4 linked regions of the Arabidopsis thaliana genome follow. The protein of the gene in region 3 interacts with the protein of the main gene of each other region in a pairwise test. Each region holds a gene or a part of one and is shown on either strand. Other genes may lie near its edges.

Evidence for each region.
Region 1: the proteins of NHL1 (region 3) and AT2G42390 interact in a protein complementation assay, tested with the Arabidopsis thaliana proteins (one large-scale study listed by BioGRID).
Region 2: the proteins of NHL1 (region 3) and BCB interact in a protein complementation assay, tested with the Arabidopsis thaliana proteins (one large-scale study listed by BioGRID).
Region 4: the proteins of NHL1 (region 3) and EMP1 interact in a protein complementation assay, tested with the Arabidopsis thaliana proteins (one large-scale study listed by BioGRID).

The regions. Positions count from the first base shown.
Region 1 is NC_003071.7:17,648,589-17,655,871, forward strand, and holds AT2G42390 (kinase C substrate, heavy chain-like protein), read right to left. Parts: upstream 4,056-7,283; 5' UTR 3,922-4,055; coding exon 3,828-3,921; intron 3,733-3,827; coding exon 3,619-3,732; intron 3,440-3,618; coding exon 3,344-3,439; intron 3,218-3,343; coding exon 3,023-3,217; intron 2,933-3,022; coding exon 2,793-2,932; 3' UTR 2,518-2,792; downstream 1-2,517. Other genes in the region: BZIP34 (Basic-leucine zipper (bZIP) transcription factor family protein), read right to left, coding at 1-72; AT2G42395 (uncharacterized protein), read right to left, coding at 4,978-5,214, 5,315-5,392; VOZ2 (vascular plant one zinc finger protein 2), read right to left, coding at 5,902-6,317, 6,454-6,982, 7,170-7,283.
Region 2 is NC_003076.8:6,822,685-6,829,597, reverse strand, and holds BCB (blue-copper-binding protein), read right to left. Parts: upstream 3,234-6,913; 5' UTR 2,973-3,233; coding exon 2,801-2,972; intron 2,609-2,800; coding exon 2,190-2,608; 3' UTR 1,850-2,189; downstream 1-1,849. Other genes in the region: PI (K-box region and MADS-box transcription factor family protein), read right to left, coding at 141-395; AT5G20220 (zinc knuckle (CCHC-type) family protein), read right to left, coding at 3,827-4,227, 4,488-4,590, 4,690-4,782, 4,868-5,000, 5,079-5,167, 5,252-5,414. UniProt on the Arabidopsis thaliana protein: Probably acts as an electron carrier.
Region 3 is NC_003074.8:3,675,814-3,683,081, forward strand, and holds NHL1 (NDR1/HIN1-like 1), read right to left. Parts: upstream 4,131-7,268; 5' UTR 3,848-4,130; coding exon 3,218-3,847; 3' UTR 2,782-3,217; downstream 1-2,781. Other genes in the region: NHL2 (NDR1/HIN1-like 2), read right to left, coding at 451-1,173; DGD1 (UDP-Glycosyltransferase superfamily protein), read right to left, coding at 5,277-5,787, 5,870-6,219, 6,321-6,587, 6,688-7,169. UniProt on the Arabidopsis thaliana protein: May play a role in plant immunity.
Region 4 is NC_003076.8:3,422,659-3,431,374, forward strand, and holds EMP1 (Endomembrane protein 70 protein family), read right to left. Parts: upstream 5,240-8,716; 5' UTR 5,140-5,239; coding exon 5,002-5,139; intron 4,522-5,001; coding exon 4,357-4,521; intron 4,255-4,356; coding exon 4,145-4,254; intron 4,050-4,144; coding exon 3,938-4,049; intron 3,855-3,937; coding exon 3,742-3,854; intron 3,662-3,741; coding exon 3,511-3,661; intron 3,410-3,510; coding exon 2,252-3,409; 3' UTR 2,030-2,251; downstream 1-2,029. Other genes in the region: AT5G10820 (Major facilitator superfamily protein), read right to left, coding at 1-508; AT5G10830 (S-adenosyl-L-methionine-dependent methyltransferases superfamily protein), read left to right, coding at 1,073-1,222, 1,356-1,991; CBSX3 (Cystathionine beta-synthase (CBS) family protein), read right to left, coding at 6,515-6,657, 6,761-6,821, 6,903-6,976, 7,062-7,143, 7,224-7,484; CM2 (chorismate mutase 2), read right to left, coding at 8,033-8,272, 8,362-8,454, 8,541-8,684.

The sequences.
Region 1 (7,283 bases), on a different chromosome or scaffold from region 3:
AGAGAGCTTTTGGGAAGAGAAATCAGGCCAATGTTGTGTCATGTTGGGGATTTTAGGAGGGAGTTGTGCCATTGAAGAAAAAATAGATGGATCTTGATCCAAAAGATTACCAAAGAAAGCAAATCTGAATTTACAGGATTGAGGAAGGAAAAAAAAAAAACCTTAATTAATAAGTACAAGATAAACTAACGTAAATCCAATTCAGAAAACCAAAAACCTAGATGAAAAAACAAAGGAAAGAAACGAAATGTGGAGACAAATGGGAAGTGGAATTAGATCAATGTCATGAACCATATGAAGAAGATAGAGAAAAGAAAAAAGGAAGGAGAGGAAGAAAGAAGAAAACGGAACAAGAGTAACCAAAATGGCTATGTTTAACAAATGATAGTTATATAAATAGAAGGAAGTAAAAAAACAGAATTAATGAAGGAGATAAATAGAGATATATATATATATACATGAGATATATATTATGTAAAATCTTATGAAAGAACATAATAAATTCGATGTGATCAAAGTGTTTAATTTATCTCTCTGAGTAGGGCCACATGGAGGGAGATATTGAGATCGGACAGCTATGAAACAGCTGTCTTGAGAAGTGAGGCTAAAGGTCTCAACGGTATAACTGGAAATTCTCCTCCACTGGTTTTTTTCTTTTTAATCTATGTAAAGAGATTTGGAGGAGGAATCAAGCAAGCACGTGTTCTTGTGACCTTTCTTTTGTTGAATGGTTAATACGTTTCTTTCTTATGAATGGTTTTTCGATAGGTTCATGTAAATGCAATATCTCGTATTTGTTGCAAATCATATGTGTCAATTAATAATTTTGGTACATGTAAACCTACGTCAAGCAAGTACAATGAATACATGAGTTAATAGCACACAGTATCATCTATATATAGAATAATAGAATTAAGTCGAGTTGATAAACATGACTTAATTTATTGGAAAACAAATCCGACGACTTAGCTTATTTATCACATATCTTTCACCATGGTAATGGATTATCTTGTTACCATCACTGCTATGAGGAGGGCTAAACAATGCATGGAGAAAGTAGGGTAGTGGACGAGTGGAGAGAGAGTGAAGAGTATAATGTTGATGTGTGAGTCCATGTGATTTGTTTTCTGTACTCTTTTTTTCCCCTCTATATTTGCTTTGTCCCAGACCACACCCACATGTAGGACACTTGCTACTTTTTTTTTCTCTCTTAAATCGTATAATTTTGGATATTTTGTCTGTCCAATTTTTTACTTTTCCGGATCGATAGGAATATTTAACGGAATCTATATTTTTTTGTTTTGTTGAAATGTTAAAATTATAAATCAAACTTGAGAAAGTTATATGTACATGTATTTACGGAATATATAGTCAGTGAATTATTTCTCTAAATGTGTGTCGGACAGTAATCTCATAGAAATATTTTCATGATTATCAAAACCAAACGATTTTGTTTTAAAGGAGGAAATCACACATCATCTGTTATGTCATTTCCAAATAATTCCTTCAAGATCATCATCCCTAATATAACCATTAGCATCTTCAGTTTACAAATATCTTAGCGACCAACCTCTAGCTAAACTCCATGAGCTACTCAAGTTTTTCTTTTACCTCTAAGTCTGTCCTTAACAGTGTGAAGAAGTTCCATCGCCTTGTCTAGTACATAAGCTTTAAGTTTCACCTTTCGACCTAACAGTGTGAAGAAGTTCTTTTACCTTCAAGTTGCACTGGGGACTTGATTCATACAACATACGTTGACATCAGGCTACCATTGCTAGTTCTTGTTTCGAGAGAGAAGCGGCCTATTTACGATTCAATACACATCCATGGAGGTAATATATTACAGCTAAATTTGAAGCTTTATGACAGAATCATGCATTTGCTCTGTATGTGTTTACCTGTGACACTCTTTGTGTTAAGGCTTGGCATATTGCTGTTTATGTTTTAGTAGAATGAAAATTCTTACAGAATCTGCACTGGCGAAATCTTGGTCTGCTTCACTCGTTAGAGGTGACCTTAAACTAAACTATGTGACTAGTTTTCCGTTGAGAAGTGAAGAAAGCAGCTGTCGAAGTGCAACTCAAGAAAATGGAGGTAAAATAAACTTAGCAATAGAGAGCTGATACTGTTTCAATGTGATTGAGAACAATGAGAAGTGAAGTGTTTGTGAATTTGTTTCACTGCAGGAGGAACTAGAGAAGAAGAAAGCAGGAGTATGCAGAGAGGATGAATTAGGTTTCAGTGACTCACAAGGAAGCAGAAGAAAGAAGTGCAATGATTGAAGGTAAGCGTGGAGAAGCAAGAAGAAACGGCTGCTAAAATACTGGGCCATTAGAATTGTTCCAAAGGCAACTTGTGGATGTTTCCAATCTTGAGTTTACAAATCATTTTTTCAGGATTTTTTAACTGTAAATTTCTCTCTTCTCTTCAATGGCTTGTAATGTTTTTTGTATATTGATTTTGTCTGTGAGAAACAAACAAGAGTTCATTTTCATAAAACCTTATATCAGTCGAATAATTCACCATGAGATCATTCAAATTGTGAATCCATCCATTTTCTAGAAAATCTGCAGATCATGTGACTATCTTACTTGTGATAAGACTCATCGGTACCTACTATGGTCTGAGGATCTGAAGGCTTAATAAACATGAAGACCAAGACAATTATGTAACTAGGAACAAACAATCTCACACTGAATAAGTATAGCTAGTAATGACACTTGACATATGTGGCTTTAACACTCAGGTTCCACGTAAAAGCTTCACAAAAGTATAATACAAGTTCCAGGGAGTTAGTTAGCTGATCTATTAATGGGAGGTACATTCTTCAGCAGATAGCGTCGTCTCTTAGACCGAGCACGACTCCTAAGCATCCATAAGATCACTAAGAAACCGATAAAAACCATCTGAAGAGCGAAAACAAGCTTCATACCTGGAAACAACAACAACAACAATTGTTTTTGTATCAGTTTGCTAGACAATCAAACAAAACAAATAAGCTTCCCAAGAAAAGTTGCAAAACCTTGTAGATTCTTGACCATGTCCTGAAGATTTCCTATAGTATAAAACTCCTTTGGATGAGGCGTTGAACCGAGTTGCAAGTGTATAGATTTAAGGTTGGCTCTAGGTTTGTAGATGTAGTTAACGTTACCACCCATTATACAAGTGTTGGGACAATGAATGCTACTTTCGTACTCGTCGCTTCCATCGCAGCAATCTGAGAAACAGACAATGTCATGCTGCTTATCCAATCCAACAAAAACATGTAGATTACTAGCATACAGCAAGAGACAGCTGAAACGAGAATCATTTAGTCGAATTCAGAACATTAGTAACTACTGACCACAGATTCGATCATTCACACGAGAAGAGTAAACGAACTTTGGAGAACTTCCAATGTTCCTACAGTAAAATTTGCCATTTGGACATGCCGAAGTTCCTGTAATGCAAAATCAGAAATTCAGAAACTTACTCACAAGAACACATTTTTCATAATTGAAATTGTGAAAGAGAATAAGATTCGATCAATTCTAGTCCTAAATCTTTTTATCTGGAAAGAATTTAAAGTCTCATGTCATCTCAGCTCTCTGGATTCTAAATTGAGAAAAAAGTGTGTACCAGGCTCATCGGTGCCGTCGAGACAATCGCAGAAGTTGTCGTTGAGACGATCTCTTGTGAAAGATTTGGAGCCATCTTTGCATTTGATAACATCTGAGTCGAAATACTTTTCATCTGCCTCACAACAAAGAAGTAAGTAAGAATCAGAGAACAAGAACATTTTTCAGATTTGTCGATATAATAAAGATAAGAGTCATCGAAGAAGTAACCTAAAGGGTGAACACCAACGAGGGGAGAGGTCGAAGCGACGGAGATGACGACGACGGCGAGTGACGAACACAACACGACGCATTGCAGCAGCATCCGTTGACTCGCATTTGGTTAAACCGACGTCGTTTTAAGATTCGAGTGGATTATTCCGACCAGATTCTCTCTTTACGATTTCGGCTTTTAAGTTTCAAGTTAAGAATAAGTGGAGTGGCCAGATATTTGATTCGATGGGCTTTGAATTATATTGGGCTTTGAGTTTTCATTTAATACTACAGTGTTCAGTATTCGACTATTAAGAAAAGAAAAAAAATCTACAATTCAGGTTATTATTAAAACTTGATTTAATTCTTGATTAATAAACTAAATTAATTTGATTATTTTAGTTTGGTTCATTTTTTCTTCTAAGTTTTTTTTTCAATGTGAATCAAAACTCTTACTCAAACGTTCTTAAATTGTGTTTGTACTACGGAGTCCCATCACCTCTTGGCTCTTGTTCAAGAGCAAAAAGTTGAGAAACATCCAAGCCTTCAAGAATGAGACCATCAACACCATTTTGAAATCAAGTAATGGCTGGAGAAGGCATAACAACTTGAACAGAAGAAGTTTGAACCACGAGTGAAAGAAGTGTAATTCGAAAGACTTCAAGTCACGGTTATTTGCGGTTAGCTGGTAATGAAGAATGAACCACTCTAAGAAGCAACCAACTTCTACAACATAAAACAGTTGTGAGCCGTTGTGATTTTGTAGTTAAGTTGACTGCTTTTCTTCTTATATACCTTCTTCTCTAGACTATGTCCATTTTATCTCACAAGTGATTTTTCACAAGACATTAGATCCCACGAGTCATAAGTAACACACAGAGCCAACACTTAGCACCTAAACCATTAACCTAAACAACTTTTAGTTCCTCCTTCTAGTTCTCCCTCTAAAAATCATGGACTCGGACAAGAATAGACCAACAAGACTGACTTCTCCATTATTACCCTTTTGCATCTCCTATTCATTTGTCCTAGTCTGGTCCATACACCCAAAGCAATGGACCTCAAAATATGATAAAAAAATGTGACAATACAAGTCTATTTCTTACTAACCAGTAAACCAAACCAAAGAATTTCAAATTAGAGCAACCTAAGCCTCATCCTCCTCTGTTCAAGTTGTTGTTGTTGTTCTTGCCTTCATTCTTTTCTGAGATTCTCTGAGATATGCTTCAGCTTTTCTACCTTTTAAAAGTTCCCTGAAAACCTTTGTCACAGTGGTTTGTTCTACACCATGAATCTCCTTCATGAAATTGATCATCTCAGGAAGAGTGTAGAAATTTTCACAGCAGAACAAGTAGCTATCTCTCACTTTCTCCTCTTCCTTGCTCAAAACAGGTTGACTACTTTGCTGTTCATTTACGACACAAATTGTATGAATCAGTGAGAATTAGTGAATTACAAATACGTAAAATCAAATACATAATTCATCAGCCAGAATTTTGAATTACTTGTGCTTCAGTAGTCGTCGTAACACACTTTCCCTCTGATTTCTCTGCTTCAAACGAGCTACCAGAATTTTTCGCCATTACTCTCTCTGTTGGTGATTTGCTTGTAATTTAGGGTTTAAAGAGAACAAGGATGCTCTTGTCGTCTGCTGTCTCCCTTTTTCTAGCCCAATTTTATAAACGGCCCAGTAAAGCCCAATTACATAATCTGAGAGCATTAGTGACTTGTATTGGTTTCAAGTTTCATTCACACACACACGTAGATAAGAATTGGAATAAAGAATCAATGGTGTTGCAAATGTACCTTTGAAATATGAATACACCACTTCGTTAACAAAATCCTTGTGGTTTTAAAGGAGAAAAATAAAATGCAAAAATTTACAAACCCATCTACGATTCTATCAAGAAAAAGGGCAAAGACCAGACTTGTCCATATTAACACAACACATCAAAGATCCTATCTCTTCATAATACAGTCAGAAAGAAAAAAAAAAAGAAAACAGAGGTGGCGATGGCTCTTTTGTAGAATGCTGGAGACAACTTGGAGCTATTGTTGCAGGAGTCTTGAGTTAGATTACCAATAGCTAACTTCACTCCTTACGACCTTTGGTTGGAGGAGAGGGTTTGTCTGAAGCCACTTTAAACTGTCCCATCTTCTTCTGCAGATCAGCCAGAGGGTCTTTTGAAATCTTTCCCTTAGGACTCTTCTTTCCATTTCCTACTTTAAGTTCTAGGCGATATAACGCACATGCGTCAGATTCATTGATTTGGTATTCAAAGAGATGCCACTCAAAGGGACCTGGAGGTTGTGGATCCATATAGTAAGATCTCTTCTGGCCTTCTTGTTCCTTCATCAGTTGTTTTCTTGATTCATGCCAACCTCTTCCACTGTAATCTGGAAGTGATCTTTGCTTTCGGTTTCCGCTATCATATGCTCTTCTAGGTTTGTCAAAGAAGAGCCACTCTCTAATTGTTTCGCCTTCAACCAGTTCAAGATGAAATAGCTCTGCAAGTACAAAAAATTAAGGGTCAGGCAAAAGTAAGAAACTCACATAAGGCTTCTGTTTTCAAAGAGGCAACGAAATGTTGAACTAAAACAAAGAGAGAAGCAAAACTGGGCTCTAGTGGGACAATGCTCTCACCTGCTGCGTTCCATGGGCATTTTGTGTTAACAGCTCCTTCACACACTGGGATCCCAACATTCTTACCCTGAGTCTTTGCACGAAGAGCATCAATCAATAGATTATCTTTCAAACTGATGCCCCCTGGCCTCAATACAGGTGCTGTGCCAGGCGAATCTTCATTCAGAGCTAGAGTCCCATGGTAGTTACTGCAGTAATCCAGGTACCACTCGGAGCCCTGAGCAGGCCTTGTGCAATCCCATAGTGCACACTTAGGTCCCAGAAAAGCAGATGGAGGCACACGGACACTTGATGGAGTAGAAAATTCAGCAAAGTTGTCAATCTCTTCAGAAGAATCAAGCTTAGTGGAAGGGCTGTTATCTAGTTCCTGACGCACTTCGGAGAAAATATAATCATACTGAGAAGTTATATCCAAGTTGCTGCTGAGTTTTTGGTCATGGAAATCAGGAGCGGAGTTTATGCTTGGATCAAACCCTTCATATCCATAATGGAGTTGCTGGCCATGTGTTTCTGTGCTATTAAGAGCATCCTGAGATAGAAAAGGTGAACTTGTACATAAGGAAACAAAATCAAAACTAAGACAAGAATGAAAAAGATCAAAACTCATAGCTGAACTGGAATAAAGAATCAACGGTGTTCAAATGTCTAGGAACATCTAACCAACAATCAAAAGATTATAGAAGACAATTTTGACGCAGAAACTGTATCTAGCTCACCTCAAAGCCGCAGGAGAAATTTCCGTTGAAAGGACTTTGACTAAAATTCTCAGATGTCCATTCAGGAGGGCACAAGCTTTGAGAAAAACCCTCAGGATCAGGCTTTGCTCCAGC
Region 2 (6,913 bases), on a different chromosome or scaffold from region 3:
GTAGATCTGCATCTAGGGTTAAAGATTCAAGGGTCTTTTGACATGTTTTTGGTAAAGAAATTGAAAACTTATTACATGATTTTGGCCATGGAATATTTTTGAGACAAAGAAACTTTAGATTAAAAAGAGAGCAAAATTACCTCATGCTTAGCATCCCATAGTTTCTTGCCAGATAACTTCTGGTATTGGTCCAACATAGCACCAAGATCCATGGAAGGACAACAGTAATCAATCATCTTACCATTACTTGCAAAGATTATGAGGGCAACTTTTGCATCACAAAGAACTGTGATCTCTTTAGCCTTCTTCACCAATCCATTCCTCCTCTTTGAGAACGTCACCACTCTGTTGTTTGCGTTCTCTATCCTCTTTATCTCGATCTTTCCTCTACCCATCTTTCTCTCTCTATCTCTTTCTCAATTTTAGGGTTTGCTATGAAATTGTTAAGATATGGAGGAGAGGATATGTGGTTTATATGAAGAACAAGAAGAGGAGCATTGGTTTTAAAGTAACATTGATGAGATAGAGAGAGAAATGTTTTGATTAATCTTGAGGTGAAGAGAGACTTTGACAGTTTGGGATTGAAAACAAAGCTACTTTCTTGAGGGCACAGTCATGGAAGGCTTGCTTTTGGTTCGCTTATTACACATAGCCAACTCTATTTTCTCTCCTTTTTTTACAGTACCAAGAAGATAAAAAAAAAACTTGAAGTAACGTAATAAAATAAAGTAAAAACAAACTTAGTGATTTTGCTTAATGAACACTCTTTGCATGTGATTGATGTTTATTTTCTTTCATTTGATTTGATCATCTCAGTCTCTCTCGTGATAGGTTAAAGTGTCGTTTAATTAACCTCTGGTCTCTTCCGTACTATGTTTTCTTCAATGAACTGTGTAGAGAAAACAAATTCTAGATATCTGGAAAGATAAAATTCTTCATATGAAATGTGGTCAAACTTTTATTTAGCTTACTCGTGTATGTATATAATTAATTAAATTTAAATTTGAGAGGCAAACATGATAATACCATAATTTCTTATCCAACCACATATATCATCAATTAATTACTTTGGGAAACTATCTTATTATGTCATCAATTATATAAAACGTGAAATAAGATAGTGTCCCAATGATTTTGCAACTAAATCATTTTGCAAATAAATTTCCCATTTTGTCTATCTCGAAAACTAACCATTAAATCAAATGAAAGCAACGAGTTTTGCAACTTTGTAGATTTAAAACCAAAAATCTCTGTAAAGAATTGCTTTTATTTTTACAGGTTCTTACTTTGGCAAAACCAAGACTTGCTATTTCAAGAACTCTATGTCATATATAGGTCTTATCGAATATCGTAGCTACACTAAAAAATCAAACATATTAAATTATTGAAAGTTGAAGATATCACATTGACAAATGAAGTAAATAAAATAAAGTTAAATTCAGATGGTTTAGAAAAAGGAAAAAAAAAAAAGAAAAAGGAGCAGTGTAATTACCAAAGACCTTGGTATAACCATTAGACTTTATCATGCTTACATTGTTATGGGGAAAATGTCTTTGGTTGTTGAAAACAAAACAAGTTTATGGTTTTCTTGATTCACGTCGATCAGACACGTGTCAATTTATTGTGGAATTTTGTGGTCTTATGTTTTGTACTTAGTACGGGCATACTTTTTGGCATTTTCTCGATTATCAAACTATAAAGCCAGAGATTAAAAATCTCCACACACAAAAAAAAAAAAAAAAAAAAAAAAAAGTTGTGAATTCAGGTGAGAAACGTATCCACTGAAACAAAAATACCATATTGTTGGTATATTGAATTAGTAGATAACCTATGTCTTTTTAATATTATTCTAACTTCGGTTCACAATCAGGTAATGTTTACTCGTTGATTGAAAATATTGAGAAGGCAAATTTTGTCTAATTATACATGAAAACTAGACAAATTGGATGAAGAAGATGACTAATTTTCATGAAATATGGTAATATATAGTAGTAATCTCAATGATATTGAAACCCACTCTTTATTTTGCAACCGAATAATCATATATTGAAACTCAATACTAATCACAAGTATAAGACGTTTATAATGACTTGAAAACAAGTCCTTATTCTCACAAATAATCAAATACATGACTATTTAAATAAGGAGAGTAAGGTAAAACAAATACATAACTAGGTTTCGAGTGTGACTCAAAAGAGAGCAACAACAGCAGAAACAAAAGCGACCAGAAAAGTAGCACCACCTAATGAGGAAGCGGCATTTCCAGCTGGAGTAGTGGTTCCGCTAGAGCCTGAAGGTGTTGTGGTCCCACCCGCAGTGGGAGGAGTGGTTCCTCCAGTACTTGGGGTTGATCCAGGTGCTGGGGTAGCACCGGCACCAGGAGTAGCACCTCCAGTTGCACCAGCAGCAACTACAGTGATGGAAAGTTTTTGACCAAAACGACAATGGTCACCGACGGTGCAGATAAAGTATTGTGGTCCAGTGGTGTTTAGCATAATTTTGACCGGAGGAACGGTCATGTGGCTAATGGGTTTCTCTTTCTCACAGTTTTCAAATGCAGCTTCTGATACAACTGCCACATCATGCCTCCCAGCAGCGAAATCAAATTCTGTAATAAGAATATCAACATCAGTCGGTGGAAACTCAATTAATCCCTTTTTTAGCTAAAATATGTTCATAAGAATATAGAAAGAAAGACAGAACAACACCGACATGATCCATGCACGATCCCATAACTATGACTGTTATAAGAACAAGAAAAACAAAGACATATTTCAGCTATAAGAACAATAAAACTCACCGAGCTCGTCGCCTACACGGAAAGTTTTACCGGTAGCCCAAGTAGTATAGAACTCGGGGTCCATAGGTCTCGTCCATTCCGTATCATCACCAACATCGTAGTCCTCCGCGAAGACAACAACGGCAGCGAAAACCAAAACAAGAAACGTAACCGTTTTGAAAACTCCGGCCATTATGTTATGTGTTGAAGAACTCAGGTCACCCCCTTTTCTTTTCTTGGTCGAGAACTATATATGTCGTCTCTTAAAAGATAGTAAATGACCCCTTTTGATTTTTGTGTTTGTTGTGGTTTCAAAAGTCTTGCAAGAGAGACTTATATTTATAGGACAATTAAAGAGAGGCTCTCAAGGAGTCATACGCAAGATACGGGAAGACGCGTTACGTGTTGTGTCGTTGAACAAATCCAAATTTAGATATTATCACTTGTGGTCAATTTTGTCTGCTAAGTTTTTTTTGTCCACAATTGTTATTTTTAGCGCGTAAAGACATTGTACATTTGTAAATTTAGATCAAGTAAAAAACGTGACTAATTACTTTTTGGGTAATGATTATAAAATTTAGTGTTCAGACTAAATATAACTACCTAATAATAACCATCCGATATTAAGGCATCGAAGAATAGTAGCATACTAATGTTAGAAAAAACAAAGTGTTAAATGTGGATATGGATGAGATATTAGGTGTTTATAGCATTTATATGGATAAGTCGATAATTGTTCAGAAATTTCTAGGCTCGATTGTCTTTCTTTGCATGGGTCCGTTGTACCAATTCAGGTCGTATTCAAGAAAAATCAACCCAACAAGTATATATACTTGCACGTAAACGAATGCGGTCATAACCCGAAACCAAAAGCGGTCAAACTCACTTCAGTTTTTGTTTGAGTTTAGATAGTTCAAAAAAGACCAATCGGGACTCAAGTGATTGGTCCGATTATAAACCCGAAATATCCATCCGCTAAAAAGGACTTGTCAGTGATTGGTTATTTCAGCTTCAATAGCAAAACCAAGCCTAACCAAATAAACAGGTTCAAGAACCTTCTTGCTCTAAACAAGAATCACTGTCTGAAACTTGTTTACTTGGACAGGTTCTTACATTATGTCCCATTTTCTTGCAGAACCCACAAGCATACGTTATTTTACCAACACCATCTTCCCCGGAATTTTCACCACTGCAACTAGGATTCACTCCGGTCGGCTTCCGGCATGTTCTGCTGTTGTGACCTCTCTCACCGCATATTCCACATTTGTGATACCTAGTGGAAATGCCTTTAGTGACTATTGATTTCGACTTAGGACAAGTTCTACGGTTGTGGCCTTTCCCGCCGCAACCCCGACATCTAAATTTTCTGTCCGCATTAGTGCCTAGTTCTGGACAGTAATGGCGTCTATGGCCTTCCTGTCCACAGTTCTTGCAGTAAAACTTAGTTCCTGAATCAATGAGAGAAAAATGGTTCTTTTACCATTTCATAGCTTGCACATGGAACTGTCACCACAAAAGGAAATCAAATCGAAACCTACATTTCTACACTTCGAATCAACATTATATCTCAACTTTAAGTGACAAGCCTCAACCTAATTCATCACAGTGATCTCACATTATTGGAGAATGTAAACAGATAAAGCTCAAGAAACAAAAGAGTACTACATGGACCTAAACTCTGAAATTCTACCAAGAAACTGAGACTTACCTTTCATAGATAGGCTTCTCTGTTCACGGTTTACAGGGTTACTGAAGAAAGCTTTCATAGATTCGGATGCATGCTTTCTAGCAGCTGGTGTTCCTTTAGCTTTCTAGAACACAACAACACTAAGCAGATTCAAGGGAAAAAAACAACAAAACTTGTTCCATGTTAATTTAGGATATAAAACAAAATGGAGTAGATTACAGACCTTAATTGCAGCTACTCTTTGAGCATGAAGCACTGGATCACGATGTATAATCTTCATGCGCTTACTAAAAAGTCCAGTTTTGGCATTGAGACTCTATAAAAACCATAATTTGGACTGACTATGACAATTTCCCATGGAGAGAGTAGAATAACATGAAGTGTATATGAATGAAACTAACTTTTAGAGATCGGCTGATCTTTTGTCCAACTTCAGGAGTTGGTGACTGATAAATCCGCTTCGATTTTCGCCTTTTACTGAACTTTATCTCTAAATTATCAACCTCATCATCCTCCTTTACTCTAAATGGAGAACTGTGGCAGAAAAAAATGAGGTTTATTAGTCAAACATTAAACAGAATTAAGACTTCAACTCTTGAATAACAACACTACCTGGATCTAGCTTTCTCCCAAGGTCGTTCATCGATTGATTCTTCCCATATGACACAATCCCCCAAACATCTGAGACAAGTCATTATGCCCTACACAAATTTAAGCAAAGTTTCTATAACAAGGAAAGACTTTTGTTACTCAAAAGTTTAAAGTAATTTAATACTTTTAAGTACCTTTCCTTTGCATTGAGGGCAGTCTAATCGCGACCTCTCGATTCCGCAATTTGAACATGAAGTATAACCTCTTCCCCTACAAGTTGGACAAGGAAGCTCTCGAATGTACTGACCGTTAGGACCAAACCATGACCTTGGTTCACGCGAATCACCAGATATGAACCTGAATAAACCATCACCAAAAGCACATTTTTGAAGCTTAGCCAAATTGTGGATCATGTATTTTACCAACTATCAAGTACACCGACTTGACCAAGTAACAATATGTATTCCTTACTTTTTTAAGATTTTCTTTTTCTTTTTAGGAAATTATTAAGAGTTTTTTTTTTCCTCAAACTTCAAAGAGTTTCCATTTTGGCATTTTTTTTTTTTTCCTATTAGTAGAGTGCTTTGCTTTTACGTTTTAGTATAAATAAAGATAGGGTCTCGATTATGAGACTCATACAAGCTAGAGAGAGCTTTGAGTTTTATACGTTTTGGGTTTCTTTGAGTCTTGCAATAAAGAGAGCTTTTCGTGGGGTTCTGTGTGACCGTGATTGTTAACTACCTGCAAATAAGAACTTGAGGAATGACTACCAGTAGGATTGAGTCACGTTTGATCGCGATAGAAAAGTACCACAAGGCCTTGCATGAAGAATTTATTGGGTTTCATAAGAGACAGAAAGAGATCCAGGATGCTATTTTGGAGTTTACAAGGATGGTTTCGGCTTCAAAATCGTCGCATTCTAAACAAGAATCTGCAACTGTCCTTGAGGAGGACATTGAGATGCCAAGTTTTGATGGAGACCATCTCTTCATATGGCTAGAAATCATTGAAGTTTACTTTACTTTGCAACTCGCTCCAGAGGTTTGCAAGGTAGACACTGCATTCAGGAGTATGGAAGGTGATGCTCTACTCTGGTTACAATGTCTACGACAAGAGAACCCGACTTTAACATGGTCTCAACTAAAAACTGAGCTTATAGAAGAATTTGGAGGAGGAGATATTACGGCCTCTCCTGAAGAACAATTGGCATCACTTCGACAAACAGGATCCGTAGATGAGTACGCTAATGAATTCCGTGCTCGGGCAGCTCAAATAGGTAATAAGGACCAACTTGTAAAAGGCATGTTTCTTAATGGACTTAAAGAAGAAATCCGGGTGATGTTCCGACCAAACGATGCTGAAGGACCAGAGATGGCTATACGCACCGCAAAAGCAATCGAGAGAGAGTTGAATTTTAACAACCGAGCAAAGGGTAGACGCCAATATTCGTCGCACCAAGAATATTTTGACATGGAAGGAACAGGCCTTTGTTATCCCGGCTATCAGCCGTACTCCATCTTTGATGACTTCTGAGGATAAGGCAATCATGGATGGAGAGATACGTGCTATGTAAGAAGAATAGACTACACTACCACAGGAGCAAGCCTTGAGGACAAGACTTTACTTTGGGAGGCTGGAATGTTATGTTTTTTTCTTATTTTTATTTAGGATTTTCTATTTCTTGAATTTATGAAGGATTGTTTAATGCTTCCACTATTCTATTTTCAAGATTACTTCTACATCCATGCTTGTCTTTTACGTTTTAGTTTACTTATGCATCCATGCTTGGTTTTTCTATTTTTTTTTATGAAAGATTGTTTAGGACTTCCACTTGTCTGATCCTAACTCAAATAAGA
Region 3 (7,268 bases):
AATGTCTGCAAATGAAATTGAATCAGCAAACTTGCGTTCATTTAAACTCATATTAAGAACTTGGAAAAAAATCTATTGTTTGGCAATACTAACTTTTGTTTTCTGAACTTTGGCTTTTCTTTTTTCGAAAACGTTGCTAAAAAGCCAAAGAAAAAGGCTTACAAAAGTAAAGATGTTTTATGCCGTTTGGATTAGCTTTTAGTGCGATACACACAAAAAGCAATTTGTTATCCAAATTCTATCCCGCGTTTGAAGTGTATACTTTAGTCATTGGTCTTAGTTCTAATTGACAATTGAGTAAGTGCATTTCGATTGGTTTTCATAGGAAAAATAGAGTAAGAACAAATAAATCAACATAATCCATATCAAGCGAAGAAACAAAATCTAATGTAGATAAATAGAAGAAAAAAAACATGAAAAGAAAAAAGAATTCATAAAACTTGGAGTTTACTAAGATAAGTCAAAGTCACACTGCACCGGTTGAAACTTAAACCCTCCTGTAGAATTAGAGGAACCAAGAGGAATCTTAAGATCATCACACTTAATCTTTGGTTTAAGCTTCCACGACTTTATAAACCAAAACTTAAACCTAACACTTAGCCTCAATTTCGCATTAATCCGATAAATCCCAGATTTCTCATCATCTTTTAGATCTGTTCTCGCTCCGTCGCCGAGCACCACCAGATTCTGTCCTTCAATTTTGGTTAAAATCACCGTCGTATTCTTATGCCCTTGATAAAACGACGAAACGTTCGCAGATCCGAATCTCTGATCTCCGTAATAGCCACTAACCGAGAACTCATCGTAGTAGACTCCGACTCGTTGATTAGGGTTACGGATTGTGAAATTGAGATCGAGACTGTAATGGAGGTTGTTGTTTGGATCGAAGCTGAATCGGTTCAGATTAGCGTCGGCGACGTAGAATTTGACGGCGTTTGGACGGAAGATGAGCCAGAGGATAAGAGCGGCGACTCCGAGGATTACGGCTACAGCTATGAGGATGTTGCAGATCAGGCTTAAGATGCAGCAACCGCAGCAACGTAGACAGCTTCCGAGGCAGCTGAAGCAACAGCATCCGAATCCAGGTGAGTTATAGCTGCGGTGAGCCTTAGGCGGTGGTGGAATTGATGGTCCGTAGTACGCGCCGTTTAGGTATGGTTGTTTGGACCCCATGTTGTTCGACGAATTGCCTCAGAGAGAAATTCAAAACAGAGGTTTCAGAATTCGAATTTGTTTAGCCTAAGAATAAAAATGGCTCAGTGAAGAAGAATAAGAAGATTATATAGATAGAGAAAGAGATAAATTCTGCTTTTAATGAAACGCGTTTTATTTTTAATTAAGGAAACGAATTCAAAACGACGCGAATATTTGATTTTGTTGGTCTGATTTGGTTAATGAATGAAGGATTTGGTCAAGGAAAATTAATTGTGACCATTATTTGCTATTTTGTTGTTGTTATTGATAGATAACCAAGATCGGTTATACTTAACCAACGGTTTAATTTTTTGAAAAAGAAGTGCCGTTACGTTTTGAATGTGGTCAGAGCTTTTTCAGCAATCGAGAAGCATTTCAAATGTAAAGGTTTAATAATTAAACGTCTAGCCACTATTGTTACTAAAAAGAAACAATTTATTTAGTGTGCAGCTCCATAAAACTAGGTTTAAGTAGGCGTTATTTTCAAGTTTGTTTCTCAATGCTAAGGAAGAAAGTAGGAATATGTAAAATGTGATGAGTGATATCCCAAATTGTAGAAGGCTTATCCCAAATTCGGCCCAACATAAAATAGTGTAGCCCGTTAGTAGACGAACATAAAGACGCTACTAAAACCCTAGTTTCATGGAACTACACTAAATATAGTCATGAACACATAAACTCAAAATGTCTAAGATAGAGATCATAATTATTAACATTTTTAAAACACTTAATTTGTTTGAATGAAGAATTATATTACAAATAGTTGATCAGTATTATTTTGAGATAGATCCACTGCATATGTAATCAATATTGATTCATTCCAAATATGCATGCACTGATGCACGCACTATTGATCAATGATCAACTATCTAAAGTTTCCGTTGTTGTAAATTATTTTTAAGTTAGGTAGCAAAGGCCATTTTTCAGAAAATTATGTGAGTTTGGCTGAGCATTACTCGGACGTTCTAGTGCCTTTGTGTGAACAGCACACACAGCACGTTCATAACCACTTTATTTTTATTGAAAATCAAAGGAAATCCAAAGTTAGGTTTCTCAACTTTATTTGAGATAGAAGTATGGAACGTTGCTTATATACTACTATATATCATGTGACTGATATCCAAAGTCTTATTGGTGACTGACTTTTTTCGTCTAACGTTTCTTATATTATTTTCATTCCCAACTTAGATAATAAGTTTTAAAGGACCATATTCCCCTTTAATTTCTTTGGTCAATTTCATGGACCACATTATAAGTTAAATGAATGGAAATGCAGATAAACGAGAAATAAGTCTCTAGACCGGATTCTGATTTTCACAATTCAAGATCCAAGAATATTCACGGTAATCCAAGAATATCCACGATAATATCCACGATAATATCCACGGATTCTAAATTCTTGTAAGTAACGTTATGTATTAACTTTATTTCAATGTAGCAAAACTCTAGGAGAATGGGCTTTTAAAGTGCACGAAAAACATTTTTTTAAGCCAGACACCAACAAATAGAACTTATCTATAAATCCATAGATGTGACTAAAAATAATCCAATCCACAAAATTTATCTTTTTGAAATGTCTTATTTGTTGTAGAATAGTCTCTATATAAAATGCATCTCTCTATTTAATTTAATAAAAAGATGGAGACAAATGGACAATGACACCATCACACAACGTCCACAAAACATTAACGAGCCTAATCTATTCAACTAAAAATTAATCTCCATCGCCATCAAACTTTACCATATACATAAGAAAAAGTCATCAAAAGTCGATTTGACAGGATCAGAAGATGCATCAAAATCAGCAAAAAAAATACTTCGAAAAAATCATCACAACTTATAATAGAATTTAGAATTCAACTATAATAAAAAAAAAGTATACATATTGAAATTCTTAAAATTCGTTACAACATCACGAATCTGTAATATTTGCTATTCGTATAAGCAAAATGTACAATTCACATCACTAAGACAGATTACTTAACGAAGACGTTTAGTTACCTTATTTTTCTTCGTCGCCGTTTCACACACTAACACTACAACTAGTGGTAAACGTATACTTAACGGCGTTGTCTCCGACGATAACTCCGTTAGCTTTGTTACCGAAGTTTATATATGCTGGACACTTCACATGAAGATGATACTTCCCGGTGATAAAAGTCCCAACCTTCCACCTCACTCTACCATCAGCACGAATGATCAACAAAACGACACCGTTATCTTTATCGGTGTCAAGACTAACGCCGTTAAAAGGAGCGATGGGAACGGAGGTTCCGTAAACAAACGGCGACCAGATGTCGACATCTTTGTGTCCCTGATACGTGGGAGGGATTGATGTTGGGAAAGTGATTTGTTGGCTCCGGTAAGTAGCGTAGACGTCAAGCCGGTCGTAGTAAATGCCGATTTTGTTGTTAGGGTTCCGGGAAGAGAGAGTGATTTGGAAGTTGGAGGTGAGGAGGTTCGGTGGATTGCCGGAGACGTTGAAGGCGTAGACGGTGGCGTCTTGGAGGATGAAGCGTGGCTTTGATGGTTGGAGAATTGCCCAAATGAGGAGGATTGTTAGGAAGATGATGAAGAGGACGAAGATTATTGACCAAAATATTCGCCTTATTAGTTTCCGGCGAGAGTGGCCGTGGTTTTCACAGTCTTTCATGGTGGTTGTTTTTTTTCTTTCTCCGACGGTGAGTGGTGGTGGTGGGGAGAAGGTGGAGAAGTTGTTAAGAGATTTTTTGTTTTAGTGATGGCTCTAAATAATGGGCTAATTATATGTAGGATTTATAGGAGTGTGATAGGGAAATAAAGGTATTCTCATATTATAAACTATAATAATTCTCCCTAATATTAAAGGTATTCTTTAAAAAAAAAAATTGTAATCAAAACAAAGACCCTTTTAAAGAAACAAGTATTCTACATTTTTATTTTCCATTTAATCACAACAATATATTTTTAAAAATCATGCTAACCTTCTTACATAAAATTTATGTTGTGATATATTTATTGTTAACTGTCATTTTGTATTCTCTATAATTCATTTTGTTTTTTTCCTACATTTATATAAATGTTGAAAATTTATGAATGCGTGATTGATGTGGTCGGTGCAAGTGTTCTTTAGAAAGGTGACTTTATGTGTGGTCGAAGAATTTTTCATCGGCTCCCCTCCAACCATAATAAGCAATTCAACTAGCTAGTTATAATTTCACTTTCAGCTTCACGATATATAAAAAATTCATTATCAGTAGATTCTCTAGTGTGAAATCAAACTACATATATAGTAACTTGCTTGTTTCAAACAGTAATTTGTGTTTGTTAAATTTGATTTTTCCATGATCATGGAACTCGGATTTGTACCATCCCTCAAAATAAAAAGTTCAGAAATTTGGAGCTGTCACATGGGTAAATGAGTTTTCACTACAAATTATTAGTCCATTTGTGATACGAATTTATAGACCAATCTAACTTTTTATTTATTTAATGATCATATATTGCGTATACATGTGTGGATTAATAATTTGATAGAGATTGAAAGAAAGTTCAATTTATCCACGTAATTTCCAATACAGAAAAAGAGGACGTAAGTGACCTAACACTAGTTGCCAAAGCAGAAACCACCACTTTTTCCATCATTTTCCTTGTCGTGTTACGTTGATTAACTACTCTAAATATTCTGTAATTTTGGAGAGAAAGTATTAGACGGGGCACTAATTTCTCTATCGGTATCGGTCGACATATATTTGGTCTAGTCGTGATTAAAGTAGTTTTCGAAATTTTAGACAATAGCGATATTAATAGGGAGGGTTCTTTTCATCTTTGGCGTAAAAAAAGGGGAATAGCTTGAATTCGTGAAACAAAAGAACAAAATCACGAAAACGGCCTTCATAGTTCATATTTTTGCCAATATAGTTATTTTATATATCATCAAATACGCTTCGTATTGATATTTTACAAAAAGACATCTAATAATAATCTACCCTTTCTATTAACAAACAAACGACCTACAACAACTGTAAAAGTAAAAAAGGATAACAATAACGTAGTGGTTTAATAAGTCACAAGCAATAACTGGGTGGCCTATGGGGAAATATCTACCAGCCGAAGATTGGCTTGTGAACGTGAGGTGGTACGAGATTCAGATCCTTGCAATGTTGATTATCATAGTCTTTTGTTCTTGGTGTTGCTCCAGTGCATAGTCTCAAGAAATCGTTCCCTGTTAGAACATAGTGTGAGAATGCCAATCCTCCATCGACCACCTCGTTAAAGCTCGGAACCGATCTTGATTTTCGCATCTTCCTTCCTCCCTCTCCATTGTTTAAGATCTTATCGAGATCTGAATACTCCATGAACCTCTGTGTTGCTGCTTCCCAAGAGAGATTGTACATTTGTTCAGGAGTGAGAGGTAGTGGCTCTTTCGTCATTGCTTCTTGCACTTTGGACACAAAGTCTTCGGATGTTTTGTAAGTTAAGCAGTTCGGGAATGATCTAAAGAATTCGTTTGAAGGGTGATCTGCACACACCACAAACTTCCCCATGGCTAGTGCTTCTGCGGTTGCTGTGCATAGAACATCGCTGATGCTGGGGTTTATGAACACTTTGTACCTTCATCAAGATGTGGGAAAGACAATCAAAGAGCGAAACCTTAACAAGTTTTTAAAAGCAAAGCACATTTTTCAGAACTTACTTGTGAAGAGCATCGTCAGCGTGGTCCCTTCCTTTGAGGAAATTGAGATTCAAGTCATGTTTCTTTGCTGCACGTTGGACCTCGACTGCATCTTCACCGTTCCCATATACATCTAGATTGAAGCTCCCAAGTTCGCTTTTGTGTTTAGCCATCAGATCTATTAGTTCTCTGTATCCTTTAGCCCACACCATTTTTCCTAAGAAGTATGCACCTTTTGAGAAAGCTTGTTCACCACGGGATCTCTCTTCAGCAATTTTCTCCCCAATCATAAGGAACTTGGGATTGACACCATGGACATTGCATACAACAGACTTTGGTAAATCTTGTGTTGCCGCAGAGAGGCGAAGAACCTTTCATGAGTAGAAAATATGTATTAGCTCGTGTACTATTTATTAGTAAAGAGGATTCAAGCAACAGAACAAGGCTTGAAGAAATAGAGTAGATGATTCACCTTGTCACAATACGCTCGTGTGACCCAATTGTTTACATGGTTCACAAAAAATGCTTGAAGAGCTCCATTCTTCTCCCTCTTGATGTACTCTAAGTAGTTTGTGTGGACAATTCCAACAACATGGTTGAATTTATCAGTCCAACGCTTGCCGTGATAATACCAGTTGAGATGTTCAGGTTCTTCAAGTATAGCAATGTCAGCATCTTTTGACGATATAAATTGAGAAGTGTCACCAGCAGGAAATATGCTGCGCCTTTCTTTTGAAAACTATAAGAAACCAGAAAGCTCAGTTACTCTATAGAAATAATTGAAAAACATATTGGCAGCCATAGAAATAAAAAAATAGAATCCAAAATGATCAACATACCTTTCCTGGGTAAAAGGAGATTTTAAAATCAGCCTTGAAACCAATCCTTTCCTCCAACCATTTACGTATATAACTCTCTTGTTCTTCAGGTGAGCTGAAGGTGAGATTGTTTGGATACACTAGTTCTTGATCAGATTCGCAGAGCCAAGGAACCACGAGAGTAACACTCTGTTTTGCAGCTTTTGCCAAATACGCCGCTCTGAATAGCGGATTTACAGCTGTTCCGGTCATCCAAGGAAGACTAGCTGTTGTAACAATTGCCACATGCCTTTTGTTTTCCGGTGTCTCAGGCTTCACAAAATCAGTCCAAAACCCACCATCATAATGGTGTCCTGTGCTTTGAAGAACACTGGCTATCCTCATATCCAAATCAACTCCATGGTTATCATTTTCAATTAAATCGGATGCTTGTGCAGATGGCAGACGCCAAAGTTGTTGGCTCTTGCATTTGCAAAGGCTTTCTACTATTCGGTCACATGTATCTGAAAGAAAATTCAGCAGAACAGAATCAGGAACTTTGTATGTAAACACTGAAACTATAAGATAATGTACAAGAAAGGGTGTTTAAAACCAATAACCTA
Region 4 (8,716 bases), on a different chromosome or scaffold from region 3:
CTGCAATGGCCATAGCTGCAGAGACACCTAAGAGGCAGCTCAAAGCCAAAGCAGCGGGCAACTTACCAAGAACAACAATAGCAATCGCAGATACCAAACCAAGAACACCAGAAACTACAAAATACGGCTTTCTTTTGTAACCTTTGATAGGGAACACATCGGTGAAGAGACCCCAAATGGGTCTCATGACCCATGGAATGTAATATAACCCCATGTAAAGCTGCACAACCGATGGCTGCACTTGCTGGACATCTTTCCAGTAATAGTCTGTGACGACTTTGAATATCGAACCAGAGAACCCTTGGTTTACACCGTACACAAGGACCACACCTAGCACGAAGCTCAGGTTTAGCCTAGAACTCAGCATTTGTAACCATTGGAAGGGCTGAATTAGAACTGAGACGACAGCGTTTCTTCTTGCTTTTGTCTTGATCTCAGAATGATCTGAAATTGGTTTTAGGAGAGGTTTATCGTCTGAGAAGAATTTCTCAGTTTCTAGTGTTTCCATGGTGTTGACTGTTTAGGAGATGAACATTGGATCTGAAATCAAAATATCGAGAGCAAGAGCCTTTAATCGTTATTTTCAATGTAAAGGAAATGCCTTTTAGACTTTCAAAAAGGTTTAGACATTCACACACGAGGAAAAACAAAAGATATATTATAAAGTTTCCCACTTGACAATGACATTTACCTTGTTGACTTTGTAAGCAATGACGTCTTTCTTCAACTACCAGTCTGAAATTCTACAAAAACGAAACCAAATCGCTTTATTAGCCAAAATTCACAAACTCGATAGTATGATTGACAGATCTTGAAAGCAAAAAGAGAAAGTCAAATGTTTCATCTTCCCACCGAAACTCAAAAATCCTAATCAACATCAACAAACACCTAAACAATTACTTCAAAATCCAATTAAAAAATAGAGAAGGAAAGCGATATGCTGCTTCGTTGGAGGTCATTATCTTTGAGATTCCCACAAGCTAAAAAGACTACTATATATGACTAGAGAGTCATGGCTAGACACTAATCAGAAAAAAGAGAGAAAGAAAAGAAGAAGCAAAACAGAGAGAAAATGGCAGGATTGTTTGATAAACAAGCCGATCTATACCTTGACGCCAGACCTAATTACCCCTCTGAGTGGTTCTCGAAGCTCGCTGATCTCACCGATCACCACGGTTTAGCCTGGGATGCTGCCACCGGAAATGGCCAAGCAGCTCTCGCCGTCAGTATTTGATGCTCATAAATTTTTATAGAGCTTCAAACTTAGATTTAACAGATTTAGCTTCTTGCTCGTAAATGATCACAACAACATGCATCAGATCTTGGATTTGACAAATTTCGCCTCCATTTTGCAGGTTGCAGAGCATTACGAGAGTGTCGTAGCAACGGACGTGAGTGAATCGCAGCTGAAGCTAGCAACGCCACATCCGAAAATCAATTATCGCCATACGCCGACGTCAATGACCGACGACGAGCTAGTGGAATTAATCGGAGGAGAAAACTCAGTGGATCTAATCACGGTCGCCCAAGGCGTACACTGGTTCGATCTCCCTAGGTTCTACTCAGTGGCCACACGACTCCTCCGTAAACCAGGCGGAATCATCGCTGTCTGGGGATACAACGACGTCATAGTGAGTCCAGAGTTCGACGCCGTCCAGTATCGGCTCCACGCCACAACGCTGCCGTTTTGGAAGTATCCGTACATTCAGCACATCTTCGATTCGTACGAAGCATTGCCGTTTCCTTTCGAAAATGTTGGGATGGGATCAGAAGGGGAGCCATTAAAGCTGGAGATGCCTAAAACGACGTCGTTTGAAGGGATCATAAGGATGTTTAAATCATGGTCGGCCATCGTCACGGCGAGAGAGAAAGGCGTCGAGTTGTTACCGGAGAGTTTGGTGAGAGAGCTTGAAACCGCTTGGGGAGGTTCTGATCTGGTTCGTTCCGTCGTTTACAAAGCTTTTATGATTGCAGGAAAAGTTAGAGTTTGATATCACCAAACCATGATTGATTGTTGTTCTCATTTGAGTTTATTTATAAAAATTGGTTATATTGCAAAAATTCTCAGAAAGTGTTGTTATTTGACAAATCAAACAAAATACACTCTATTACATATATTAAAATCTCTTTTGGTATGCAACAAAATAGAACCTAAAATGCAACAAAACCGATTTTAAAAAGAAAAATAAGATAAACTATGATCACCTTTTCTTCTTTGTTTCCTTAATCGCCATGATGATCATCATATCCTCTAATCGATCTTAACAGAGGAATAGATGAGCCTTGTGAACCAGAGACAAGCATAGAACCCTATTGTTCCTGTGAGCACAAAAAATGCGTAGGAGGCGATGAGCATGTACCCAAAGTAAAGCATCGCAGAGACCAGTTTGGTGATCTGAAGCTTTGTGAAGAAGTAGAACGTGGCATAGAGGAAGAGGTAGAGAGCTGATGAGCCTGATGTGAGGTATGATCTCCACCACCAAAGGTAGTCCTCACTGCAAAGCTGGAAGTAGCAGAGTACTACGGTTATCTCGGCGCAAGTCACAATGAGGATTACAAAGACGAGGAAGAGGAACCCAAAGATGTAGTAGAACTGGTTGAGCCAGATGGATGTGAGGATGAAGAAGAGCTCGATGAAGACTGCACCAAACGGTAAGATTCCTCCAATGAGGATTGAGAAAACCGGGTTCATGTACCAAGCTTGCTCTGGGATTTGCCTCGGGATTTTGTTGGTTTTCACTGGGTCATCAGCCGCTGGCTTCTTGAACCCAATGTAACCCCCAACAAAGACGAGAGGAACTGAGATGCCAAACCAGAGGAAGATCAAGGCGAACATTGTTCCAAAGGGGACAGCCCCAGATGACTTCTGTCCCCAGATGAGAGCGTTTAGGACAAAGAAGATTGCTGACACAACTGCAGGAAACAAGAAGGCTGTTCTGAAAGCGATTCTCTTCCACTCTGTTCCTTTGAACATTTTGTAGAGACGTGAAGAGGCGTAACCAGCAAAGAGTCCCATGAAGACCCAGAGCAAGAGCATTGCAGTCATCAGACCACCCCGATTGGAAGGGGAGAGAAATCCGAGCATGGCGAAGATCATTGTGACAAATACCATGCCTAGACACTGGACCCCTGTTCCAACATAGACGCAGAGCAGATCAGAATTGGTAGGAAGTCTGAAAACATCACCATGGACAAGCTTCCATCCTGTCTCTTCTTGAGCTTCTTCTTGAGTCTCGAGCTCGTTGTATCGTGAAATGTCACGGTAAAGGGTCCTCAGCATTATCATTGCCACCATACCAGATAGGAATAGGACGATCATCAGAGAATTGACGATAGAGAACCAGTGGATTTGGTTATCACTCATCAGAAGATAAGTATCCCATCTAGATGCCCACTTCACTTCACTTTCCTGGACAGAAACAGAAGAGGAAATCAGAAAAACTATTGAAAACAAGAATTCATGAAATTTTTTTAAGACACAAACCGCAGATTACTTAAGAAAAAACTTGCCTGGAAATCGACGTCATATGTGAAGATAATCTCCTTCTTTTGTTCAACTTCTTGAGGGGTAGCCGAGCTAACGACCAGGCGTTTCGTGTGAGGATCACAAGTCGTCAGACGGGTCTTCTCACTCCACTCTCCCTCATACTCATGCTTCACACTACAAATCAACGGAGGGAATATCAGTTCTGAATGACAGGGGATCCCAAGAGACATTCAAATTATGAACAAGAACTGCACCTGTAAGGTTTAACCTCAAATCCCACGATTCTTGCAGCATCAGTTTGGATATCTCTGTGATAGCGGACTGTAAATGCCAAGTGATTGTGCATAAAGAACTTCTGCTCTTTGCTCTGCGTATGCAAAAACAAAATTAGAAAATCGAACGATCTAGCATGAATTCCATTTAGTGTCTTAACAATTAAAACCTACTTACCCCCTCGTACTGGCCTTTAAGACCAACATGATAACCAAGCTGATAAACAACAGAGGGAGAACCCTGGTCGACTCTTTCAATTGGAACAACCAGAGGAAGGTTGTCGAGGATCCTAACACAGACCAGAAACACTTATAATAAAACTGACAGAGAAAAGCATGTTCTTCATACAAATAATCAAAGAAAAGTGCCTGTATTTGGTCTTACATGTTGACCCGGTACTCATCATCGATCTTTTCTTTAAACGCTTTAGCTGTCTTGGCATCAAGAGTGACCCGGCCGAGAATATTGCACATTTGTGCCTCCCGCATTTTAAACTGCAATTGTTTCAGCCCCGCAAGGGTTAGAGTTAAATCACAGACATAATATTTTTGACAGCCTGATGAATTACAAAATTAAAAATTGAATACGAGACTAACCGAGTATGGGGCATTCTCAATCCGGTCACCCCGAAGCACTTCTCCAAGATTCTCAGTACTGTCCACAATCTTGCTAGGGCGACAAAAAGGAAGGGAGTAATACGAGTATGGAAGCTGAGTCTTTATGGAAGTTAATTTATTCACTTTCACCTTCAGCTCATCACCCTGCAACATACAAGAAAACAAGACTCAAAATTTGAATATGATTTTGAAGTGAAACATGCAAGTCTACTTTGATTGAGACTCGTCATATAACATGCAGGACCGACATTGCCCTTGTACCCATAACTTGGATTTCGTAGTAATGGCAAGCGAATCAAGAGCGAGAGATCACTAAGAACCTAACAAAGGTAATCAAAATTACAGCGAATAAGGCTAATCCAGAAGAATAAATATCGATATAGCTCGCCTAAGACGCTACATTGTTCAGATCGAGAGATTAGTGAAGCGGAAATGAAGTGAAATCACCAATTCTATTAGAAAAATAGCTAAACCAAAAGTCGGTGCATCAGCACTCCAACTCTCACTATCTCTAGCTTTCTCGGGAATCAAGAACGGATTAATCCTAGCGGAAATCGAAACGCAGATCCAGGAGATCCAAATCAGATCTAAAAGCCTAGAAGCACAAATTCGAAACGTTTTTACCTTCTCGAAATCCTGAGGAGCAACACCTGGGAGATAGAATGAGTGAGCTCCATGGATGAAGAGCAGAAAAATCAAAGCGATCGCGCATCCAGAAGATTCCAATATTCTTCTACTGCTCCTCAGAAACTCCATAGCCATGGCTGTTCCACACGAAGGAAGAAAATAACCAGATCTGAAGCTACGCTACAGTTGTATTTGACTCTTATACGCTTCGAGACTCGAGACCAAGACCCGCCTCTAATTGTGATTTAATACTTCCCGGTTTATTTTTCCGGTTTGGCTCGTTTATGTTTGATCCTTATCAACCATTAATAATTCACCACGTCACTACGCATGAAGTCTTTCTACGAGCTATAAGCCTACATAACCAATGGGCCTAACTCGATAAGCCCACCCTAGGATAAACCAATCCGATAAACCATGATTAATTAAAGTCAATCAAGATTTTTAAGCATTTGCTATACATTTTTAAGATTGTGTTAAAATGTGGTCTCAATATAATCGATAGAGAGAAAATGGGCGACGCCGCCGGAGGCTTGAGATCTGAAACGCAAGATGTGACCATGACGGACCTAGGAGAGAAAGGTCATTCTCCGGGAGACCCTCCTGATGCACCGGGTTCGTGGGTGAAGAAAGTGGTGGGGGGACATTTAGGTGGTATCCTAAATCCGAATGATATCTTAGATGATGAGTTTGTGTCTGAGCAAATGACACTGGAGTTCCCTGATGGTGAGGATGGAGAACCAGTGATAACAATTGGCAGTGAGGTATTGGCGGCGATGAATGGTTTGTTGAAGAACAGCTTGATCGTGAAAGTGCCCGGGCGTAACATGACAATATCAGCATTAAGTAGAAAGCTTCGAGAGATGTGGAAACCACGAGGAGCAATGTCTGTTGTGGATCTCCCTCGTAAGTTTTTCATGATTCGGTTCGAAGCGGAGGAGGAATACATGGCAGCGTTGACAGGAGGTCCATGGAGGGCGTTTGATCGCTATCTCATGGTGCAAGCTTGGTCACCGGAGTTTGATCCCTTGAGAGACGATATTGTGACCACACCATAATCGATTTGATTTGAAGAAAATCTATCGTTTTATATTTTGCCTTGGTTTACTTGTTTGTATTCAAAGAATTGGTTTACTTGTTAAGATATTTTTCATGGTCCAAAGACACGGAAACTTTGTACCGAAATCAAATTTTCAAAGTAATTCTATTATTTCATAACACACATGGATACTTGACGCAAGATTTGATAACAAAAACAAACATCATATCTTTCATAAAGAGATCAGAGTTTTTGGTTTTATTCTCTTGCTAAGTAAGCGCAAGAAGAGAAGCAGCACAAGGCCTTAGTTTTGACAAGTTAAACAACGAAACAACACAAAACATCAAACACAACAACAACAACAATAACAACGAGGACTGCATATTTACACTGATCTGGAAGCTTTTCAGATTCAGCAGCACAAGACCAGACGACACAACAGGGAACTCTTTTCTTTCCATTATTCAAGATCTAGTAACCTCCCTGAATATACGCATTTAGGCGTTGAAGCTCCTCTCTATGCTCATGAACCACTGCACGGACAACATCTCCTATGGACACCATTCCAATCATGCCCTTGTCTTTGATTACCGGAATATGCCTGATTCGGTTATCTGTACATTACAAAAACACAAACCCGCATTTTTATTTGCTTCAGTAGGTTTTAAACCCAAAAGCTTGTATCTTTAGTGGAAAAATATCAAGTTGTCTGCTTACCTGTCATCAGTTGCATAGCACGCAAGACCTTGGTCTCCGGTGTCACAGTGATAAGCTTATTCTGCAATTGCCAGTTCACAGATCCAGTCAGTTTCAATCCACAAAAGCAAAAAAAAAATCGTACAATCGTGCATTTACATACCTCTTCAGTCATAATGTCTCCAACTTTTGTTGATTTGGATGATCTCCCTTGCACAATGATCTTCCGTAGATAATCTAGAGAAATCACAATGCCGAAAAGTGAATCACACATACCACAAGACACAACAAAAAAATTATTAATGATTAGATCTAATTTTACCTCTCTCTGTAATGATACCAGCAAGAGCTTGTTGCTCACCAGGTTTCACAACCACCAAGGCACCAACATTGTGTTGTGTCATCTAAACAAAATCAAACACAATCAATTCCAAATCCACATCGAGATATCTAAAAAAGGAAAAAGAGAGTAGTATAAGCATACGGATTTAACAGCATCATAAACAGTGTCATCAGTAGTACACCAAAGCCAAGATCCATCAGCACTTTTGCCTTTGGATTTCATGACATCGGAAATAGTTGTGCTCTCGAATCCAGATTCCTCCATACGTGCAGGTTGAGTTGATTCAGAGCGTGAACAAAACACAGAAGGCTGAATCGCCGGGTTAATCACACGGAGATGTTGCAGCACAGAGCCTTTCACAACATTTCCACCGGAGACGAAGGATCGAATCACACCTTGCATCTTTCAACTGTCAACAACCAAATAATCAGTTCCTCAAAACGAGATCTATAAAATCAAGAGCTAAAAGAACGAGTCTAATGAAACTAGATCGAAAAGAGAATGATCCTAATTCTTAAACCGAGTGTATTTGATCAACAAATCCTAAAATGGAAAGTTTCCTCAATCAGATTCAGTAAAAAGCATCAGAGATAGTGAAGAAGGAGAGATTCAGACCTGAGATTAGAGAAGAAGAAGAGATCGTAGTGGAGCTTGAGGTTGAGCTTGAAAACCCTAGAGAATGGGGAAGAGACAGCTGACCAGAGAGAGTTGAGTGGAGAGTTTTTTGAAGGGTTCTCTAATGGATAATCATCAAATATATAAATAAACGATTTTCGATAGCGAAATACTGGCGACTTTTTTCTTTTCCTTAAAATATCTTACAAAATTTAAAATAGTGATGACTGTGTTGCTTCATTCAATTATTCTATCATATCCTGACAAATATCAACAGGCCCACTTAAAAACTTAAGGCCCACTTTAACAGGGCCAGATTTGGATACAAATAATATTCAATCGAGACGACGTAGAAGATACTCAACCTCAACGAGCTTAGTGAGAGGGATAAGCCATTCCCCGTAGATGCGAGAGGCAAGCAATGGATCCACTTTATACTTCTTCTTACTCTCATCGCCATAGCCAGAGTTGAATTTTACTTCTTGTCCAAACGTTTCTGCTTTCTTCTGCACTCTCTTCTTAACCATTTCTTCTACTTTCTCAAACGTCAACAGCTTCATCAAAGCCTCTCTATCCTACAGTCGAAAATCAAACGATTATGGTGTGAATCATATCATTTTAAAACCACAGTGAAACAGAATCCACAATGTGACACTAAGTTTACCTGAGCGCGAATCGCAGGCTCGTAATCTTGTGGAGCATCTCTGAATTTGACCTCAGCTACAAATTTACCGTAGTGAATCCTTCTCGAAAGAGCCTTACACAAGATCAAACATATCAGATCAGACATCATTAGCCAAAAGTAGAGCTGATTTTGTTATGTATACTCAATCATCTCCTTACTTGTAAACAGGCGAGATCACTAGCAGCAGTTGATGGATAGTTGCCATCATCGCCAGGTTTGACAAACAAAGGAAGCAATTCTTTAAAGTAAATATCCCAGATTTGTTTGTTAATGTTAACAGATAGAGCCTTAGGGTGCAAAGCCTAATCAAGAGAAAGAAAAGTACTGTTAGACT